Linked DNA regions of Schizosaccharomyces pombe. The protein of the gene in region 1 interacts with the protein of each later gene in a pairwise test. Each region holds a gene or a part of one and is shown on either strand. Other genes may lie near its edges. The genes, in order: aha1 and spe2.

Evidence for each region.
Region 2: the proteins of aha1 (region 1) and spe2 interact in a two-hybrid assay, tested with the Schizosaccharomyces pombe proteins (one large-scale study listed by BioGRID).

Annotation. Positions count from the first base shown.
Region 1 is NC_003423.3:2,146,772-2,150,700, reverse strand, and holds the start of aha1 (chaperone activator Aha1), read right to left. Parts: upstream 1,649-3,929; 5' UTR 1,577-1,648; coding exon 1,545-1,576; intron 1,170-1,544; coding exon 191-1,169; 3' UTR 1-190. Other genes in the region: WD repeat-containing protein Rrb1, read right to left, coding at 3,003-3,929.
Region 2 is NC_003423.3:2,875,682-2,879,610, reverse strand, and holds spe2 (S-adenosylmethionine decarboxylase proenzyme Spe2), read left to right. Parts: upstream 1-2,064; 5' UTR 2,065-2,241; coding exon 2,242-3,378; 3' UTR 3,379-3,541; downstream 3,542-3,929. Other genes in the region: cut14 (condensin complex SMC subunit Smc2), read left to right, coding at 1-1,761; calcium-dependent serine/threonine protein phosphatase calcineurin catalytic subunit Ppb1, read right to left, coding at 3,752-3,929.

The DNA.
Region 1 (3,929 bases):
AAAACAAGAGGACAAACTATGGTTATGCATTCTTGATAAAACCTGATTTTATCTATATTTCATTTGCCTTCAAAAAAAGCAAAACTCACAATAGAATACATTATTTGAAACATAGCCTGTATGCAGGATTTATAAAGGATTGTTAAATTTTTTTCTGAGCTAATCATCCATATGTGAAAGTCAAGATCGATTACAGAACAGCGCCAAAACCAAAAACTGTCTTAATGGGACGAATATAATAATCCTGAATATTACCTTGTACAACCTCCTCTTCGCCGATCGGAACACCCTTCATAATCATACGTAAAGTAGTATAAGAATCAGCTTGATCGAAGGTGAATGTTATTTCAGCATAGTGACCGGTGGGCCACGAACTAAGACGCCAAGTTTGCACGATTTTTTTGTTTTCTTCCAGTACAAGGAATTTTCCAACTACATTTCCATGGAACAGAGAGAAAGCGCCTTGCGGACGAACATCGAGTTGCGGAGGAGCGCGAGACCAAGCAGCTACGCGAGCAGGATCAAGGAAAGTAGCATAAAGTTCATTAGCAGGAGCATCAAAAGTATAGTTCTCAGAAATATCGGCAGTATTGACTACTGCTGATACACGAGAGCCATCAGAGCCAGATCCAGCGGCCACCGTGGTAGTACCTTTGTTAGACGAAGTCTGTGAAGAATTGTTTTGCTTAAAGCTACTATGCACGGGAAGTCCACGAGCAGCGTTACCGTTATGTTCTTCAGTGGAGAGATAAACATCGTCACCATGGGTTTGCAACAAAACTTGGGAAAATCCAGAAAAAAGCTGACGAATTTGAGGAATAATTTTCTCACGAACAAGCTCTTTAATGGGTTCTTTTTCCTTTGAAGCAGAGTAAATGTCGATGTCAAACACGTAATCAGAGTATCCTAAGTCATAAGAAAGCTCGGGGCAAGTAATGGAGCCAGTAGCTTCAACTCCATCCTTAGTTTCTCCTTTAAATTCCATTTGTATTTTCAAATCAAAAATAGTAATGACCTTTCTTTTGCGCATAGAGACATCGACATCTCCTTCACAGCTATTGACTTGGGTAATGCGAGCACTAGTGGGGCCCTCAGAAGCTTGGATCTTAGGAAGTTCCTTATTGAAGTACTCATGAGACCATACTCGACAATCCTTTGAAGTCCAATGCCTAAAATTGAGTTAGCGAATCAATCGTTTTATTTGGACATATCCATCGTTTCGTAAATATTCCAAACCTTTGACGATGAACTACTATTCCATATTCAGAAACCAACGCATTGAATAACTACCGACTCAATAAAGAAAAAACTTTCATAATAGGATCAACCCAATCTTGACATCATGATTTGGCTAGCAACAATGTAAAATGGTGAAACCCAATTTCGCTCGTTTATACGAATTCATTCAATAGAATATTATTGTGTTCAACCCAATCAAAAATGTCATTGAAATTGAATAAGGGATAATACGATGGAAATGAATAAAAACATAGTTACATGACTTAAGTTTGGAAATTTTTTTATCCCAACACTACTGTACATACCAGTTATTGGGGTTTATAGATGTGGCCGACATTCCTACTCAATATAAGCTAACAAATGAATTTCGTTCAAATTCTAAAGCAAACAAGGTGTTGCGTCCAATTTCAATCTCATGCTCGTTTCAACCTCCTTCTATATATATACCCCCACCTACACCACCCCCATCGAAGTCTCAGGAATCTTCGAGAGAAGGAAAAGACGAGTATCTAAGAGGACATGCAGTATGCTAAGCTCCGCTAGAAACTGTTGTGCTAACAATGAATGTGCTCTACTATCAATATATACCGCATGAGGTATAGATGGAAGACTAATGGTCTCAGTGGTAAATGCATGTTATTGTATAATAACATCTATTTGCAAATTAATCAACTGCATAATCATGCGGATAGTAATTTAAATTGTTAAACTAATAATGTGTATTTAGTGAAAAACCTCCGTTGGGAAAATTCTGCATCTTTCCATGCTGAAAAGGAAAGAAGATCCACTTCAAGACAGATATGAAGTTACATTTAACTTGAAAACTCTTTGTGTATCATATTGAATTCTATTTTTCAAATTAATAAAAATAAATAGTTTGCCTTCTCAGTTGGAAAGCAGTCGTTAAGCATATGATACAGTTTTCATAAATACACAAGCGTTCAGACTTATAACAATAACGCTTGAAATTAGCAAACATAGAGCGTAATTTGCTTTTAAAAGTAGATTCTACTTTCCAATTAAGATAATTATTATAATCTATCAAAAAAAACTTTTTATATCACCAAAACCGAACCAACCAAAATATGATAACATTTCACCACTCTCAAATGAAAAAAGAACGAGTGATTTAGCAAGAACTACTTGAACCAAACCCTTGCATTGAACAATATATACCGCATGAGGTATAGATGGAAGACTAATGGTCTCAGTGGTAAATGCATGTTATTGTATAATAACATCTATTTGCAAATTAATCAACTGCATAATCATGCGGATAGTAATTTAAATTGTTAAACTAATAATGTGTATTTAGTGAAAAACCTCCGTTGGGAAAATTCTGCATCTTTCCATGCTGAAAAGGAAAGAAGATCCACTTCAAGACAGATATGAAGTTACATTTAACTTGAAAACTCTTTGTGTATCATATTGAATTCTATTTTTCAAATTAATAAAAATAAATAGTTTGCCTTCTCAGTTGGAAAGCAGTCGTTAAGCATATGATACAGTTTTCATAAATACACAAGCGTTCAGACTTATAACAATAACGCTTGAAATTAGCAAACATAGAGCGTAATTTGCTTTTAAAAGTAGATTCTACTTTCCAATTAAGATAATTATTATAATCTATCAAAAAAAACTTTTTATATCACCAAAACCGAACCAACCAAAATATGATAACATTTCACCACTCTCAAATGAAAAAAGAACGAGTGATTTAGCAAGAACTACTTGACCAAACCCTTGCATTGAAAAATTAGGCACTAAAAAGTGATAGTTTTAAACACATTTATACCAGTCATAGCAGTGGAGACAATCGTTCCAGGTATTTGCCTATGCCAATGCATTTCCTTGATTTCTTGTTGACCCATGTGTATAAACATTAACTGAGGAGGAACGTCCTGCAACCCCTCTGCTGCACGACTGTCTTGTTCTTCTTCATCAAGCTCCACCGATAAATCCCATAATGAAATTTGATTATCCGCACCAACGACACCAATAACGGAATCTTCGTTAGGATGCCATTCAATACTGTATATAGGAGCACGGTGCCATTTGAAAGAAGCAACAGGAGTTGCAACTGAGGATGAACTTTTCAGAGAACGAAGGTCCCACACGCTCCAAACACCATTATCAGCACCAGTTGCCAATAAATTAGGTACACGTGTATTCCAACTTAACACATTAACGTCGACACCAGGATGAGCATTGACGGTAAGAGCTGACGTCTTTTGTTTATTTCGGACATCCCAGATGCGAAAAGTGCCATCGCAACTGCAACTGGAAAATACGTTCTTTTCACTAGGAGACCATTGTAGATCTTCGACAGCAGCAGTATGGCTTAGAAAAGGAGAAGAGTCAGTTTGCCAACCACCATTGCTATACTTCGTCAGGAATATCTCATTTGCATTGTCACCAGAAAGTAAAGAATATTCAAAGGGAGACCAGTCAAGTGCATATCCCTCAGTTTTATGACGATTAACAGTATAAAGCGGACTATTTTCCTTACGCGAAACCATCACACCAGGAGAATCCAAAGAACGCAAATGGGGAGCAATGTCCCAAATGTGAACTTTTCCAGTCTCATGAAAGGAGGCCAACAATGACTCTTTGGAAGAATTTGCAGGTCGGCGTGCGGAACGAACGCGATTACAAGCTCCTTTCGTGGAAATAGATTTATGCTCCAAGAT
Region 2 (3,929 bases), 730 kb from region 1:
GTAGCTTCAGCAGAGAGAGTAGGCGCAGCCAAAAAAATTTCTAATAATAAAGCCCAACTTGCTTTGGAATTAATCGGTTATGACGATGAGCTTTTGCCTGCAATGCAGTATGTTTTTGGCTCCACATTAGTCTGTGATACCCCTGAATCGGCAAAGAAAGTTACCTTTCATCCTTCAGTTAAATTAAAAAGTGTCACGCTTGATGGTGATGTTTATGACCCATCTGGTACCCTTACTGGTGGGTCTGTGAATAAATCTGCCGGTCCTTTACTACAGATACAAAAGCTGAACAGTCTGCAGCTAAAATTGCAAGTAGTTACTTCAGAATATGAAAAGTTGGAGACTCAACTTAAAGACTTAAAGACTCAAAATGCCAATTTTCATCGACTTGAGCAAGAAATTCAACTAAAGCAACATGAATTAACACTTTTGATAGAGCAAAGAGAGACCGACTCATCTTTTCGTCTTTTATCTGATTATCAGCAGTACAAAGACGACGTTAAAGATCTCAAGCAAAGGCTTCCTGAATTAGACAGACTTATATTGCAAAGTGACCAAGCTATAAAAAAAATTGAACGAGACATGCAAGAATGGAAACATAACAAGGGATCAAAAATGGCTGAATTGGAAAAGGAGTTTAATCAATACAAGCACAAGTTAGACGAGTTTACTCCTATATTGGAAAAGTCCGAGAATGACTATAATGGCGTTAAACTCGAATGTGAACAATTAGAAGGCGAATTGCAAAACCATCAGCAATCTCTCGTACAAGGTGAATCGACCACGAGTTTAATAAAGACGGAAATTGCAGAACTTGAGCTGTCACTTGTTAATGAGGAGCATAATCGAAAGAAACTCACCGAACTAATAGAAATTGAAAGCGCCAAGTTTTCTGGACTTAACAAAGAGATAGATTCACTCAGTACCTCAATGAAAACATTCGAATCTGAAATAAACAATGGGGAGCTAACAATTCAAAAGCTGAACCACGAGTTTGACCGATTAGAGCGAGAAAAATCAGTTGCTATAACTGCTATTAATCATTTGGAAAAGGAAAATGATTGGATAGATGGACAGAAACAGCACTTTGGTAAGCAAGGAACCATTTTCGATTTTCACTCTCAAAACATGCGTCAGTGTAGAGAGCAGTTACATAATTTGAAACCGCGATTTGCTAGTATGCGTAAAGCTATTAATCCCAAGGTTATGGACATGATTGACGGTGTAGAAAAGAAAGAAGCCAAATTGCGCTCTATGATAAAGACCATTCATCGCGATAAGAAAAAGATCCAAGATACTGTCAAAAGTATTGATCGGTTTAAAAGGAGTGCCTTAGAAAAAACCTGGAGAGAAGTCAATTCTTCTTTCGGTGAAATTTTTGACGAACTACTTCCTGGTAATAGTGCAGAACTACAGCCACCAGAGAATAAAGAATTCACTGATGGATTGGAAATTCATGTAAAAATTGGGTCAATTTGGAAAGATAGTCTGGCAGAACTTAGTGGTGGACAAAGGTCTCTAGTTGCATTGGCTCTTATTATGTCTCTACTTAAATATAAGCCTGCTCCAATGTACATTTTAGATGAAATTGACGCGGCGCTCGATTTAAGTCATACCCAAAACATTGGAAGACTTATTAAAACAAAGTTTAAAGGTTCTCAGTTTATTATTGTTAGCCTTAAAGAAGGAATGTTTACCAATGCTAATCGACTATTTCATGTACGATTTATGGACGGATCATCTGTGGTACAAGCTCGCTAATTTGAACGTAAACACTTGAATTATACGCGCATGTATAGTCCTACTATTTACTATCACCGATGTCTTAATTTATTTAAAGAATATTTCTACCAATCATTAAAAACAAGACTTTTGGTTCTTTAAAGTTGTTTGTGCCGCTAATGAAACTTAGACTACGGTATGTATCATATGTATAAAATATCGTAAACTCATCATTTCCAAATTTATTATTAGCGTCGATGTCATTTGTAGCATATTCAAAAATATTTAGGGTAGGGTTTTAAAATTTTGATCGATACAGGATGTTTCTGTGGTTATGTATTTAGCCTCAACATCATATAAAATTGGTGCGACAGCCGCAATTAAGTTATTATTTGTATGCTTTTTTGCTAATAAATATCCTAAAAGTGTAACTGGAGCAACTAGCTAGTACGTGTTTTGGGAATTACACTCACAGCGCACATATAGCATTGGAAGTTCTTTGTATGACTATATTCTAAAATGTCTCCTACCCTTGTTGTTGATCAAGAGAATTCGGAAGAATTTAACACCTCCTCATTTGAAGGTCCTGAAAAATTGCTGGAACTATGGTTTTCGGCTCCTATAAAAACCAATTTAAGTGCGGGTGAAAAGGCTAACTTGGGACTAAAAGCTGTTTCTCGCAATGATTGGGATGATATGCTAGCCCAAGCCCAATGTAAAGTCCTCAGCGTTGTTAATAGTGAAGAAATAGATGCATATTTACTTTCTGAATCCTCTATGTTTGTGTTTGCCCATAAAATTATCCTTAAAACATGCGGAACCACTACACTACTGGCTAGTTTGCCTCGCCTATTAGAAATTGCTTCTAGTGTTGGCTTTGATCGTCCTCTTCGTATTTTTTACTCAAGAAAAAACTTTTTATATCCCGAACGCCAGCTTGCACCACATACGAGTTGGGAGGAAGAAGTTCGTTACTTACAACTGTTTTTTCCAAGTGGATGCTCTTATGTAGTGGGTCCGACAAACAAGAATCACTGGCATCTGTTTTCTGATCTGGCTGATGATTATTCTTTACTGGAAGATTCCCTTGATCCTGAAGATGAGACCCTAGAGGTACTCATGACTGATATGTCTCCCGAACGCTCGCTTCAGTTTTACGCTCCATCCTTGGATGTTGTTCGGAGCGCTAGAGGTGATGACTATGTTCGAGAAAAAAACAATCTCTCGGGGGGTCACATCCTTGGCAGTTATGTAGCTGATGAATCGGGTGTTAGAGACTTATGTAGTACCTCTGATAAAAAAGCAGTGCTTGATGCTTTTCAATTTGAGCCAATTGGGTTCTCGTCGAATATGATTTACAAGGACCGCTATGCCACAATCCATGTTACGCCTCAAGAACATTGTTCTTATGCTTCATTTGAAACAAATGTTTCGCAATTCCAATTCGGAAGATCCATATCTGAAACAATCGAAAAAACTGTTAAAACTTTTGGTGCAAACAAATTTTGTCTTACCCTTTTCCAGGCTAAAGGTGCGTCTCAAGAGAAGCATTTCTCGGCCAAACTTAAATCTTTTAGCTCTTATAAGCGTGAAGAATTTATAGTGTATGACTTTCCTGGATATGATCTTATATTTGCCAGCTTTACTGCAGTATAAGTTCGGAGAACAGTCAGCTAGATATTTTAAATTATCTGTTGCTATATTTATTATCATTCTTTTTTACGGTGGAGCGTGCCATGCGAATACCCCTTTTTACAATCTTTCATTATGCAAAAAGTAGTCGTCTTTTGTTTGCTTGTTTTATAAAAGGTTTCATAGTTATGAATACCAAAAAGTTTATTATGAATATCTAAATGCAATGCTTATGTATCTAGTCATCGGTTATCTTGTATTATGCTAAAGTAAACTCATTTGCTTTCTTTATTTTGAGTGTTTAGATATTTGTTGTAAGTATGCTTAAAACCTCGGATCAGGTTTATGCTCATTGAAAAATTCCAACTAAAAAACGAATATGCGCAGGTTTTGGTATCTACAAAGAGCTTTTCTTATCTGCAAAGCGTTCTACCAAATGATCGATAGAGGTATCATCTTCAGACGAATTCATTACTTCTTCGAAAGCCTTTAAATCCGTAGAACGTCGACGGCTATTAGATGGCGGTAAACGTTCATTTTGGATATCCAGCTTACGAGCATCATCGAAGGAATTG